Linked DNA regions of Arabidopsis thaliana. The protein of the gene in region 2 interacts with the protein of the main gene of each other region in a pairwise test. Each region holds a gene or a part of one and is shown on either strand. Other genes may lie near its edges. The genes, in order: CLF and UCL1.

The links.
Region 1: the proteins of UCL1 (region 2) and CLF interact in a two-hybrid assay, tested with the Arabidopsis thaliana proteins (one study listed by BioGRID).

What each region holds. Positions count from the first base shown.
Region 1 is NC_003071.7:9,950,967-9,958,293, reverse strand, and holds the start of CLF (SET domain-containing protein), read right to left. Parts: upstream 3,203-7,327; 5' UTR 2,725-3,202; coding exon 2,662-2,724; intron 2,385-2,661; coding exon 2,292-2,384; intron 2,208-2,291; coding exon 1,906-2,207; intron 1,802-1,905; coding exon 1,640-1,801; intron 1,503-1,639; coding exon 1,418-1,502; intron 1,281-1,417; exon of another isoform or gene 1,247-1,280; coding exon of another isoform or gene 1,223-1,246; coding exon 1,088-1,222; intron 988-1,087; coding exon 940-987; intron 868-939; coding exon 796-867; intron 715-795; coding exon 14-714; intron 1-13. Other genes in the region: AT2G23370 (cyclin delta-3), read left to right, coding at 3,276-3,378, 3,515-3,598, 3,700-3,774, 3,857-3,899, 3,977-4,034, 4,131-4,298, 4,379-4,441, 4,521-4,615 and 3 more; AT2G23360 (filament-like protein (DUF869)), read right to left, coding at 5,567-6,076, 6,166-6,214, 6,297-7,327. UniProt on the Arabidopsis thaliana protein: Polycomb group (PcG) protein. Catalytic subunit of some PcG multiprotein complex, which methylates 'Lys-27' of histone H3, leading to transcriptional repression of the affected target genes, mainly abscisic acid (ABA) responsive elements.
Region 2 is NC_003070.9:24,450,362-24,457,602, forward strand, and holds UCL1 (ascorbic acid mannose pathway regulator (DUF295)), read right to left. Parts: upstream 2,851-7,241; coding exon 1,735-2,850; downstream 1-1,734.

The DNA.
Region 1 (7,327 bases), on a different chromosome or scaffold from region 2:
CAAAATTACCCACCTATTCATTCCAAAAATCTCAACACCTTTATCAAAAAGGCTTTTCTCAAGTGGTCTCCACAACTTATTTGTAGCCAATCTTCCTCGAGATACAGTTTCACCCATAAACTCTTCTTTCCTTAGACTTTCATCACTACCCGGCGCATCAAGCTCTGACGCAACCTCATTTGACTGGCAAACAGGAACGTCATCCTTCACAGAATTATTGGAGACTTCGGCAGGAGTGCCATTCTTCCTTGACTTCCCGGAGTTCCCAGATTTTACATGCTTCTGAGAAGAGGAAGTAGCATCTTCATTATCTTTATGTTTTGCATCGCTGGGTGAACAACTTCCACTGGCGATGGAATCACTATCCGAGGCTTCTGTCTTCTTCTGCCTCTTCTGAGTCTTACGAGGAACTCGCTCAGCAACTCGGTTTTTGTTCCTCTTACGACCTACTCGTCTCCCACTACCTTTCACCTTTGGCGATGATGAAACTTTATCGGAATTGGTATCCTGCTGTAGTCCATTCTCTGAGTCACTTGTTTCTAGTGCGCACTTTTCATTAGACGATGCACTTTCACTTGGGAAGGTCTTTGGTTTTCTCCCATTAAGTTTGCTGGAGAACTTCGTGGGTGTGGTTTTAGTACCTGCACCATCTGATGAAGTGCCAGTTTTACCTTCAATGGTGCCATATCCCGGAAATCTTCCAGACTTGAGAAGCTGATAAATTGAAAACAACGCTTTTTGTTAAACCAGTCTTTCTAGGAGATGAGCTTAGCAACGAGAAAATAACAAATTTACCGTTTTATAGCAGTTTGCACCACAGGTTAAATTTTCATCTACAGGAGGACACCATGGAGCTGGTTTCTCAGCCTAAAAATCCATAAAATTAGATAAGTAACACTAAAGTTATAGTAAGATTTTTTCGGTTGGCACTAAACTCACCGGAAAAATGAGATCCTGTGAACACCCATGAAGCCGGCAATCAAATACCTGCATAGATGCATACAAAAGTTAAAAAGAGACCAATGTTTGCTCGATCATTAAGCAATAACCCATGAAACATTAGCCTGAGAAAATCAAATGGACTAACAAGGCATCTACGGCAGAACAGGTTATCGAAAGAATCTAATGCTCCTTCCATATCTTTGTTGAGAAGGGAGCTCTCTGCTTGATTATCGCCACTCTCGGATACTTCTTTTTCCTTCATAAGCACTCCATGTCTTGCCTGTATAAGATGGTCGGTGTTCATATCTCTGCAAAAAGCCAATTGGGAAAGGGCTGGAACAATACTAATTGGATTTCCTTAAACAATGCATCCCTCACTCTGTTTTGAAATCCTACAACTGAAGTGCTTGATTCTAAAGAAAATAGCACATGATAGTTCACACAAGCAATAGGCAGAGAAAAAAGTTGTTGATACCTTGATTTCACTAGTACTTCTAGACAAGAAACTTGCTAGTTCCGCCAGGACTGAGTCTGAAAGACCTAGTTGCTCAAGGGTCATGCTGAAGAAACGAAGGGAAATTTAATCCAACAATATAAGTGAGAACAAACCAGCATAACAGTTGACATAGCAGACAAGAGATTCACACTAAGAGACCAAAATGCAAGAATGATTAAACTCCTGCCATTTAATACTAACCGAATAATATAATCTTCAGGCTCCAAAAAATCTCTTTTTTCTTCTTCGTCGTCAATGGCCTCCTCTTCACTATCACTGCAGATAAGCGCTTCCCCGCCAGTTTGATCATAATAAATTCTCCTTCGACCCACTACAGACTGGTCTTCAGTCATTCTTTGATTTCTGCATCATTTCAAGAGTGATTATAACGTTAAGATACTATGCGAGGGGCTTACATTTCAACTTGAATATTTTCAAGTACTCTTGCGACATTAATGTCAACATACCTGTCCAGAAAAACCCATGTGGTATAAGGTGACAAACGTTTGATATCAGGCATTTTGATAGGACGTAAGGAAATTTTGACAGGGACACTAGATCCTTGAACCATTCCTGAACTGGCAGGTCCATCTTCTACATATCTGTTGTTATTACTTTCATCGATTCCGCTTTTCATACCTGGCGAATCTCTTTGCCTCTTAACTAAAAGATCACTGCCATCTTTACAGCTACCTCCTCGTTCCATAGAAGACCTCATAAAACTTTGAGTAATAGCAAACAAATTCTTCTTGTTTTCATCAATCCTTTTCTGGTTACAAACACATCAATTTCTAACAATCAGATTCAGAAACACATAAAACATACAAAAAAAAAACTAAACAAAAATAGCAACCTTTATTGATATACACCTATCAGCTGCAAGCTTCTTCTTTAGCGATTCTATTACTTCTGATACTTCCTTAGAAGCTGGACCTCTCTCCTCCGCCTGAAACATCAAAATGAGGTTCCTTTACACAGTGTTCAATGAGAGAAACTATCAATTGCAGCAAAAATGGTTCCTAAACGAACCCAAAAACAACTTCATATCTCACAATCCAGCAATCTCTAGATCTAAAAACGAGCATATAGAGAAGCTCAAACAAGCCATCGAGTTTCGTTCTCTTCACTCAAACTAAAGCAAATCAAAGTCAATGCCTCAATAGCACAAAGAAAAAAGTTCCATTTTTAGAAAGTAAGAAAAAAAAAAAAAACGATTGACGCACCGGAGAGTCTTTGGGTGGCTCCGATCTGGTGGCCGAAGAAGAAGGCGAAGCTTCTGACGCCATTGTCAAGAAACCAGATCGGAACCGAAACAAATGCGGGTCCGGGTTAAGATCCGGGTCGCGAAATCTGAAATGTTGGAGGAGAGAAGGAATTTGGCGGGTCGTTATAAACCCTAAAAATTTATCTTCAATTTTGTTTTTATTTTGGATCTTTTATCTTCAAATCCAAAAAAAATTTCGTTTTACTTTTAAAGAACATTGTTTACGAATTGGGAAGCGTGTAAATTAGAAACTTTTTCCAATTATTTAAAAAAAAAAAAGTTGGTGGGAAAATAGCGACGTGGCAGCTCGATTTGAATTATCTACTGTACATCTCCGGCGACGGTTTACCGGAATATCACGTAGCTCGAGACAACGAATCTACTAGAGTTCGAGACTGGTTCTATATCAACTGAACAAAACAAACACGAACGTTGCTGGGCTCTGATTTAATGGGCTCTTAAACCCTATTTGTTTGGGCTTTATTTTTTGTTTTTTTTTTCAGCAACAGCTTTTCGAAGTCTCTCTGTAATCTCATCGGACGAGAAACAGTACGGCGATCGGAAAACTCTGAGATGCATCGCGGCGCGGCGGTTTTCGGACGGAAACGTAGACTGATACTTCTCCATGGCAGCAGAAACTTCGCCAGATCCTTTTGCTCTTCTTCTTCACTATCTGGTGAGAGGGATTCACATCTTCGCTATTTCATTTGCAACTTCTGGAAGCTGTGCGATGGCTTGAGATTGGTTTATGATTCTTACGGTGCCGAATTTGAACAATCAGTGAATCGAAGTTAACGATTGATTATGTGCAGAACATGAATGTTTCATTAAGGATATAGCAAAAGCTCAGCCTCCTAAGCATCTGATGCAGCTGCTGAATATATTCACAGCTAGAGGTAAATCAATCTTACACTGACTTGCTGATCGTATTTTCGAAGTTTTTGTTTGTTAACTTGCGGAATGGTGACTTTTGCTTGTGGTAATGACATTGGATCAGGTAAATCCATAGTTTCTCCTGGTGCCAAGCAAGGCTTGTTACCTCTTACTATTCCGTTGGTGAAAATGAGCCCGGGTATGATTCTGGACTTGTACATAAGTTCTTATCTGAGGTTGTAACACTTTCATATTAAGTTTGTATGACTTTCCTTTTTCAGGTTCTTCAATTGCTCTATTACGGTGGCCAACAGCTCCTTCTAGGTTAGATCCTCCTTGCTTTTTTAATATCGTCATGTTTCTCTTCTTTTGTAGCTTATCATTGTTTGTGGTGTTTGCAGTATGGAGATGCCTGTGGTGGAAGTTCAGAAACATGGGGTTTGGTTTCTAGCTAATAATGTAATGAGTCTTTTTATAGCATTACTGATGCGTTAATTTAGGGTTATTTTTGTTGAGTGTTCATTCTCATATCTGACTTCATTGGCCAACATTCAGGTTGATCAGTTCATTCACAGAATATTGGTGGAAGAAGATGTTTCCAAACCCGAAGAATGCAGCCAAGAAATCTTCAATGCTGCTGGTGAAGCTGGGAAGAAACTTTACAGTAAGGGTGACTTTGCCAGTTCAAGACTGATGGATTTAGATGCCTATCTTTTAAGAAAGGTACATATATTGAGCCTGTTAATATCAGAATCTTTTCTGCACATGGATACTGGGATATGATTATTAGCTTTGTAATTCAGGTTGGATTGTTTCCAGATTCTCTTGAACGAAAAGTTATTCGGCATATCGAGAATGGAGACCATGTAAGGCTAGTAATTATATCTATCCTGTTGTAGTTGACGTGTTTTCTCTTTTTAAACTATCTTCACGTGCTAATACAAGGTTTCAGCTTTGGTGGCTACCGAGTTTTATACAAAGAGAGGGAACTTTCCCGGATTTGCCCGGCCATTCGCTTTCAACGCAAAAGTTTTACTGAAGTTCGTATGATCCTTTCTCATCATCCCTCTTTCTCCCTTGTGAACGACCCCCAGGTAAATGCTTACGTCCTTTCTAGAAAACTCTAAGACCTCTATATATTTTGTAGACTTGGGCGTAACTTAGAAGCGAAAGACGCAGCTAGGGGTGCTTTGAAATCTTCGTGGTGGACCTTAGGATGCAGATATGAGGTACAATTCCTTGACTATCGACAAGCAATTTTGGTAATCGAAAAGAGAAGGGAAAAAAGTGTTGAACATATGAAACGGGTTCCCAGGAAATTGCTCAAATAGCAGAGTGGGGAGAAGAGCAAATTGCGCAGTATAAGGAGAGAGTTACAGGAGAAGGAAAACAACGGGATATAGACAGGGGAAAGCCAATGGCTCAGGTTTGTTCTTTGCCTGTATTCATTATCAGATACTCATATCATGCTTATGGATACAAAGGCTTGAAACAAAACTTGTAATTCTCAGGCATCTTTGGACGAGGCTGCGTTCTTACTGAATCTAGCGTCACTTGAAGGGACATGGGACGAATCACTGGAACGGGTTGCTCAGTGCTACAAGGAAGCTGGACTTAACGACATCGCCAAGTTTGTTCTGTACAGAGATTGAGAAGTCTCTTTTAAAGGCCACAATTTGTTCTTTTGAGACCTGAGATGACATTATATCAAATGATCTTATGCATTTAGTGTCTACGTTGAAGATTTACATTAACCCTGCTAAAGATTCATTGGGTCAAGATTACTGATTGTATCCTTTCTGAGACTAAAAGTGGAATAAAGCAGAATGATCATCTTATAGAGTAATACTCTACGTGGAGATTATATATATACTGCCAAAAAAATCTAGAAAATGACAGTTTAGTTTGCATAGTTTGGGTCTTTGGGACCATATAAAGAAACAGGATTAAGGTATTAGATTATAGTCTAGATGACAGATGCCACCATCTTCTTAGTTGGCAAATGGATTAGGGACCTTCTTGCTCTTACCTTTCTTATTTCTCCCCAACAGCTTTCTCCAGAGGCTCTTAACTCCGCCGGTCTTTTTCTGAGGAACAATGGCAAAGCAGTTTGAGTCGGAGCCTTTGCTTTTGTCTGAGAGAAGAATCTGTTCTAGTGCCTCAATGGTTTCATTGTAAACAGAGCTGTTTCCTCCCTTTCCGTTTTTATCTGCTGCTTGCGGTTTCTGATCCTTGGATTCCCCGGTGTTGTGATCTTCTGCCTTCATCTGATCCAAAAGAGATGATCTCTGGCTGGTCAATCTCTTCTCTGGTTTAGTAGTCTCATGTGAAGGTTGTGCATCAGGTAGGTTGTTCGATTTGTCTGTAACGTCGTACATGAGTGTTTCTGAAAGTAAAGCTGTTTCCTTTGAGTTAGTCAATGCCTTGAGCTGCTTTCCCAGGTTTAGAATCGTCTCTTGACACTCGGCCAACTTTTCTGAAGCAGCAGCGATTTCCAATTCCTGAATCATCAAACACATAAAACAGATTGGTCTTGGACAAAAACAACTCTCAATGTAATGGTATCGATTTTCTTCTGCTTGTAACTTACGGTTCGCATGTTTTGTTTTTCCTCCAGCTTGAGCTCGTTCTCTGAAGCACTGCAACAAGAAAACCATTGGATGCATCAGAGATAAAATGTATGATTTTGCTGACATGAAGTCTTTAAGCATTCATATTTACCTCGCTGTTTTGTCATTTGCCTCTTCTTCAACCGTTTTGCGCGACAAGTTTTGATTACCAGGTTTGTCTTCAATCAACTGATCTTTGCAAGCCAAAAAGGAAACATCTTCCGTTCTAAGCTTCTCTGCTTCTGAAACCTGACGAAATATTCCAATATCAACTTCGCTTCCGCTCCGTGATTCATCCCACTCGAACTGCTTCTTAATCTCATCTCTCATGGTTGAAACATCTTGAAGAGAAAAACAGTGGTTCACCATCCATTCCAACACAGAGCTTAGCTCTTGAGCAAACTTCTTCATGTCTGCTTTTCTGTCTAATAGATCGTAACAAGCTTGAAGAAATCGCTGCAATACACTACTTAGCTCTGTAGTTTTCCATTGCAAGACGCGAGCAGTGTAACCTGAAAGCCTTTCTGATTCTCTGTTGGACACATGCCTCTCATCTTTAAGACTGACTCCCTCGATAACGTCAATGATTCTGTGAATTGATTTGCTGATATTACACTCCATATCCAGTCTATCCTCCACAGTAAGAGTCTTAGTCTCCTGATGGTTTGTAGAAAAGCTTGAATGGTTTACACTTGACAGAGCTTTTCTGATATCTTCAAGTACTTCATCAGTGTTTCTCTGCGTGATATGCTTATGCTCCATTACCGCTTTCAAGACTATATGAAGAGATTGAGGTAACGAATCTGACTTGATATCATCTTTGGGAGATGCATCAGGATTCAATGAATAAACTGTTCCAGAAGTTTTAGTTGCTTCTGATGAATTCTCATTAGATTCGTTCTCTACCGGACCAGTAGCTGAAATAGAATCAGAAGAACAAATAGGAGAACTTCCAGGTCGGTTATCGATTGTACTAGCAACCATTGCAAGCTTCTCCATTTCAGCAAAATCATCCATTAGTTTCATCTCTGCAGCTTTAGGGGTTCCAACCAAACTCGTGCCCATTTCCTTCTTGTTCTTGAAATTGTCCAACTCTGAAAGTAAAGCAGAAGCCCAGGAATCGGCACAGCTAACTTTATCATC
Region 2 (7,241 bases):
TGTTGGCGCCAATTTGTTAGAAAAAAGCAAGTTCTATAAATCGTGTACCAAATAGTTGATACCAAAATTAATAGATTTTTTCATATTAATATCATACGTTGTGTCAAACATTCAACCCTAAAAATCAAACCCAAAAGCAAATATTCAACAAAGTTTTGAAAGCTTATGAACACATTTACCAGTTTGATTAGCTTTCTTTAAGCTAAATAAAGTCCGAATTGATAAGAAAGAAAAGAGGTTGTCCATCAGAGAATTTTCATCACGAAATGGCACCAGTATTGTCTTCATTATCATTGTTATCTTGCTGGTTGTTCTCATTGCAGACTTGGTTCGGTTCGGAATGATGGATGTGACTTCAGCCAATGAAGATCATTAGATCCAACTCTAACTTTTTGGTAGAATTGTCAGCATTGTTGTTGAAGCAAGTGGCCAGATATATAAGTTTATGCGCCTTGTGTGGGCTGAGCAGAGCGGAAGTTGGTAGTTGCTACTTCCGGCATATACTGGTTCATGTACTCGACCAAAGTGGCCAGCTACTGCTGCAAGGTAGAAACTTTTCGTTCTAAGGAAATTTTAAATATTACATCAACATAGTTTTTCTCTTTGCTCATACATCGAATGATGTTCTTCAAAACCAAAGATCCTTCATTTTCTTAGCCGATACGTAATGCAAAAAACAGACAATTTACAATACATTTTCATAAACTTTCATTTAATTACAATATGTATTCATAAACTTAACTAATTGGGATATAAAATAGGAGACAAAGAAAATCAGTATTGAAAACAAATGATTCTCATACTAAGTATCTACCCAAGTTCATTCCTTTATAAGTATACCCAAGTTCATTCAAAGAACACAAGAAAACATAACTCTTGACCGTTTATAGAAACCATAGAACATACATTTCATCCTCATCAAGTTGTGTGACCTATGAGCATTCACTGGTTGTCCCATTAGAAGCTTGTGACCTATCTGCCTTTGAATTTCTACATTAAATATTTGTGCCCTTCTATCCACATAAATTTCATCACGTCTACGATGAGTCTTTCTCAATACAAGCAACATGGAAGACTCAATTCTTTCTCGTTGTCTCTACAAGTTAAATAAAAAACATTTAGTGCTAAAATATATCCTGATTATAAAGTGCACACATATGGTTAGGATTAACTTACTATGAGATCTCTTACTTGCTTGAGAGATCTTGCTACAAACATTGAAATTTAAATTATTTATTAATGTCTCACTTTGCCACCAAAACACTGTATCAGTAAGTGTTATTGGACATTACAGCAAAATGCAGACTTTGACCTTTCGCAATGTTTAGAGTCATATAGTTTATGTTGCGACAAATATTTGTAGCCATTTTTTTTGGTTTGTCACAGTTTGTATATTTTGCTACAAATAAAAATTAGTCACAAAAAGATATTTTTAAGAAAATAAATATAGTTCAGCTACATCCTAATCTGTAAGAAATATTAGCAATCGTTTATTACAAATTTGTTACGAGATATTTTTGTGAGAAATTTTGATAAAAATATCTTGTTACTGTGCACGTCAATCTTCTGACGCAGTACTAACTAAGGCATATCTATGCTTCATCATGATACCGGAAAATGAAGATATTTTAGTTACGTTGCATTGCTTTGTCTATAAAGATGAAAAGTAATTATTTTATTAGAGATGATTGGTACTCTTAATTATAAAGAAAGTAGGTTTAACCTACACAAGATTCAAAGAAAGCTAGGAAAAAACATTTCGAAGGAACTCTCGGAAGATTCCGACTTTCTGGTGATACTACTTCCATTACCATTGTCTAGCTGGAACACCTTAGGCTCTAAATCCTCAATGAAGTAAATAGAGTTTGGGAGGCATCCGTAATACTCATGAGCCAAAACCGAGAAACAAGTATCGGTAGCCATCACAAATGCATTGTCTCCCAAGGTCTTAACTTCTACCCATTTGGCTAATTCCTTATCTATCTTGTAAACCTTGAAACCAGCCGTTCTTGAAAATTGAAATAAGGTCGATTTTCTCTTTCGAGAATTCTCTTTGGGGAGGCGTTTGATAACGTAAAGCTCTCCACAGCAATCCACAAATCTCATGTAATATCTCCTACAGCCATTAGTCATGTTTTCATCGAGTGAAGTTTCGTACCTTGACATTTCAAGATCGGAATTAATGCACCAAACGATGCCTTTTGAATCCAAGACGTAAGTTACTCCTTTGTGAACTATAATGTCGGAGAAGTGATGACCCATTTGTTTGAATCCGTTCAAGACATTTCCATTCCAGTAGTTGATTGTTCCATCCCTACCGATTCCGAGAATTCCATGATGATGATCATCTCCTTCCTTCACTTTGACAAGAGCACTTCTTTGGTATCCTGGATTCGGTAGTCTTCCCTTGGCGTCCTTAAGAACCGCATAAGATTCTTGAATCTCGGAGACAGTGAAATCCAAAAGATCAAGGCTCTCGGAAGAAATACGCAATGGAAAACGTGAGAGAGGGTTGAGGAGATGGAATCTCCCGGAGTTGGTGTCCATGTCGGATTTGATTATCCAGCCCTTACTCGGAGAGGAGGAGAGAGTGACTCGGAAGAAGGCTGCACGTGAGAGGAACGCGCCGGGGTTGCAGCTGAAGACATGGTCCTCTAGAAGGGTCTCACTTGGGGCGATGGGGTTGAAGTCAATGAGAGGGCGCCTATGGAAAGGATTCTTCTTCACGCCGGAGACAGAGGAGTGCCATGATACACAGATGCTGCTGAAACGCTTGTATTCAACTAGGGAGAACGATCGGGCGGCGATAAAATGGAGGAGCTCCTCCGGTAAGGTAGACCAATCTACCATTTTGCTACTTTGATTGTTTGTGATTTGTGAGTCACATAATATATATATACTACGTATACTTACCTAAAAGTCCTAACATTTTAGGTTCCAAATGGTTGTGTTTTTAACTTTTAAAGAAACAATAAAATATAAAATCAAAATTCACTCATTCCCATAAATAAGAATGAATACATTGAACCTAAATGAAAAATATGAGTTCTAATTTGCTAAAGAATATTAATTCATATTCTATTCGATTTTATACCATTAATGATTTTCATGGTTCATCATTTGTTGAATTGAAATTTAATAGCAGTACTTAAAGAGTAAATACTCTCTCCATTTGTAGACAAAAATATTTTGGGTTGACTTCCCTAAACTACACCAAAACAGGGACCCCAAATAGTGTTTGTACTTAGGCAAAAAGATTTAATTATGTTTCATAGGTGATTGATTATATATTCTAAATAAACAAAAACAAAAGCCCAACAAATATATGAGACTAAGACACAACAAATCAAAAATGAATAATAAATGTTACAAATTTTAGGGTTAAAGCCTTTGTAAAAATGACTTTTAGAATGACAATTTGACCAACTAACAGAAAATTATTGATTAGTGTGGCACCCAAAATTATTACATAAAATGTGGCCTTGGCACAAATCGTGTATTGTTTTTGCGATAAGAGAACAAATCCATAGCAAACGTTTGTAACGCAGTGAAAGGAAGATTATTAGAGCATCCTTATTGATGGTCTCTTAACACAATTCTTATGTTAAGAGATATGTCTTATAACTAACAAATGTCTCTTATTGACTTGAAAGTAGCCTGGGTCTAGTGAAGTCAACCAAATAATTTCGATGTCTTTTTCCTTGTTTCTTAAGAGATTTATTTTTTGCTTTACCATGCCTTTTTTATTAATTAATTATGACGAATCATAAACTTTTAAAAAATATTGATTGTAAATAATTTATTGTATAAAATTACTATTGGTTTAAAGTAATAAAGAAACAAATTAATACCAAAAATAATATTTATATTTAAATATTAATTAATTTTTTTAATATATGTGAAAACTCATAAAATCAATCATTCCAAAACAGAGAGAGTAGTAAACTTTTGCGGACGTGACTTGATTTAATGTTTTCTACACTTCTGTTATGATACCAAAGATGAAGATATTGTAGTTGCTGTGTGTGTCTATACCGAAAATGAAGCTGAAACGTAAGCTTTTTTATTAAAGATGATTGGTACTCACAATTATAAAGAAAGCAGCTTTGACCTAAAACAAATTTCAGAGAAATCTAGGATAAAACATTTGGAAAGAACTCTGAGAAAATCCTGACATTGTTGCGATATTACTTCCATGCCATTGTCTAGCTCGAACACCTTAATCTCTCTCTCGTCATCTGTGAAGTAAATAGAGTTTTACATCATCCATAAAGCCAAAACTGAGAAACAAGTAACAGTAGAATCAAAAATGCCTTGTCTCCCAAGGAATTAACCTCTATCGTTTCACCTAATTCCTCTTCGAACTTATAACCTTGAAACCGACTGTTTGGGAAACCAAGTGAGGGATGGGTTACAATCAATACCGACGGAGCCTCGCATGGAAACCCGGGGAAGGCAACAGCGGGAGGTGTGATCCGTGATGAGTATGGGACGTGGTTAGGTAGTTTTGTTTTTAATATTGGTGTTTGCTCAGCCTATTAGCGGAATTGTGGGCTGTGTATTAATGGCTTGTTGTAGCTTGGGAGAAAATATTTAGAAGGGTGGTGTTGGAGATGGATTCGGCGTTGGTTGTTGGTTTAATATAGTTAGATATTAGGGATATTTTTACGCTAACAACCCTGATACGCTTGTGTCATGACTTTATCTCAAGAGACTAGATAGTCCAGATTACTCATGTGTATATGAAGGTTGATCGCCAAGTTAGTTTACTATGTGTTTACTCTATTGCTTGGTTTTCAGTTATTTAATGTATGTTTGGAGGAAGTTTATCTGGTTATGATAGAGGATGTTAGTGAGATATCGATCCCACATAATGTTTGAATAAAATTTATATTTCGTTATTAAATAAAATGTAGGAGAAAAATCTCGTACAATCTACCAAAAATAATGTAACATATACCGATGTGCGTACATAGAAGATATTGCTTTTTACTAATTTCGGCTTTTTGCCACTGAGTAAATAAAACTTGAAAGTAGTTATTTTAAATAAATTTCTAGTCAAAAGTTATCCCTTCAATCTCAATTGGATATATCTCTCCTTTCTTATATTTCCATTTCGGCTTGTATTTCTTAAAATTAAAACTAAAACTGATGAGATTTACTTTTCTTTTCTTTTCTTTTTTGTTTTTAAAAGAATACATAACAACCTAATAAATCTCTGAAATATCAAATCCCTAATCTAATACAATCTGTAAATCAAGTTAATTCTGATAATAAATTATATATTAATGCTTCAAAGATATCCATACCACAAAAAAGTAAGTATAAACAATAAACACTATATTTGGTGTTTAGGGAAGTCAACCCAAAATCTTTCATCTAGAAATGGAGAGAATATTTTGTAATGCTACAAATTTTCAAGTCCAGGCCAAAACATGCATCTATCCCACAATGATGAACCATGAAAACCATTTATGGTATAAAATCCAATTGAATTTAAATTATTATTTTTAAAGCAATTTAGCACTAATATCTTGCATTTAGGTTCACTCTATGAGAAGAAAGAAAGGGAGTAAGGGTTGGATGCTTCTAAAGCTGGATTTAGAGAAGGCCTATGACAGAATAAGGTGGGATTTTTTGTCAGATACGCTTGTCGCAGCAGGGTTTTCTGAGGTCTGGGTGACTTGGATAATGCAGTGTGTTTCAGGCCCGGATATGAGCTTGCTATGGAATGGTGAGAAGACTACACCTTTCAAGCCATTGCGAGGTCTGAGACAGGGTGATCTTTTGTCCCCGTATTTGTTTGTGCTGTGCATGGAGAGACTCTGTCATTTAATTGAAAGATCCATCAATGCTAAGCAATGGAAACCGATTAATTTGTCGCGTGGGGGGCCGAAGCTCTCACATATTTGCTTTGCAGATGATCTGATTTTATTCGCAGAAGCTTCAGTAGAGCAAGTACAGATCGTAAGGAGAGTGTTGGAAGCGTTCTGTACTGCCTCGGGTCAAAAAGTTAGCCTTGAGAAGTCCAAAATCTTCTTCTCTAAGAATGTCTCCAGAGAGTTAGGCAAATTGATAAGTGATGAGAGTGGGATACAATCAACCTGTGATTGGGGAAGTATCTTGGAATGCCTGTTCTTCAAAAGAGAATTAATAAAGATACCTTTGGGGAGATCTTGGAGAGAGTTTCATCCCGCATGTCTGGTTGGAGAGAAAAGACGTTGAGCTTTGCGGGCCGGTTAACACTCACGAAAGCAGTCTTATCCTCGATGCCGGTTCACTCTATGAGTACAATTCTGTTGCCGCAATCTATTCTGAATCGACTTGACCAACTATCCCGGACCTTCTTATGGGGAAGTACAGCAGAGAAGAAAAAGCAGCACTTGGTAAAGTGGTCAAAAGTGTGTTCACCAAAGAAAGAAGGAGGTTTAGGAGTCAGAGCGGCTAAGAGCATGAATAGAGCACTTATCTCTAAAGTGGGTTGGAGGTTGCTCCAAGAGAAGAATAGCCTCTGGACCTTAGTTTTGCAGAAGAAATACCACGTTGGTGAAATTAGGGATTCACGTTGGTTGATTCCTAAAGGGAGTTGGTCTAGCACTTGGAGAAGTATTGCAATTGGTCTAAGAGATGTGGTATCGCATGGAGTTGGTTGGATTCCTGGTGACGGTCAACAAATAAGGTTTTGGACTGATAGGTGGGTGTCGGGTAAACCGTTGTTAGAGCTTGACAATGGTGAGAGACCTACAGATTGCGACACAGTGGTAGCCAAAGATCTGTGGATACCTGGTCGGGGTTGGGATTTTGCGAAGATTGACCCTTATACTACGAATAACACACGGCTGGAGTTGCGTGCGGTGGTGCTGGATCTAGTTACGGGAGCTAGAGACAGATTGTCTTGGAAGTTTAGCCAGGATGGACAATTCTCAGTGCGGTCTGCTTATGAGATGTTAACGGTGGATGAGGTTCCAAGACCAAACATGGCAAGCTTCTTTAACTGTTTATGGAAGGTTAGAGTGCCAGAAAGAGTTAAGACGTTTCTATGGTTAGTGGGTAATCAAGCTGTTATGACAGAAGAGGAACGACATCGGAGACATCTTAGCGCCTCGAATGTGTGTCAGGTTTGTAAAGGTGGAGTTGAATCTATGCTCCACGTGCTTAGGGACTGTCCAGCTCAATTGGGGATTTGGGTCAGAGTTGTGCCGCAAAGGAGGCAGCAGGGTTTCTTTTCGAAATCTCTGTTT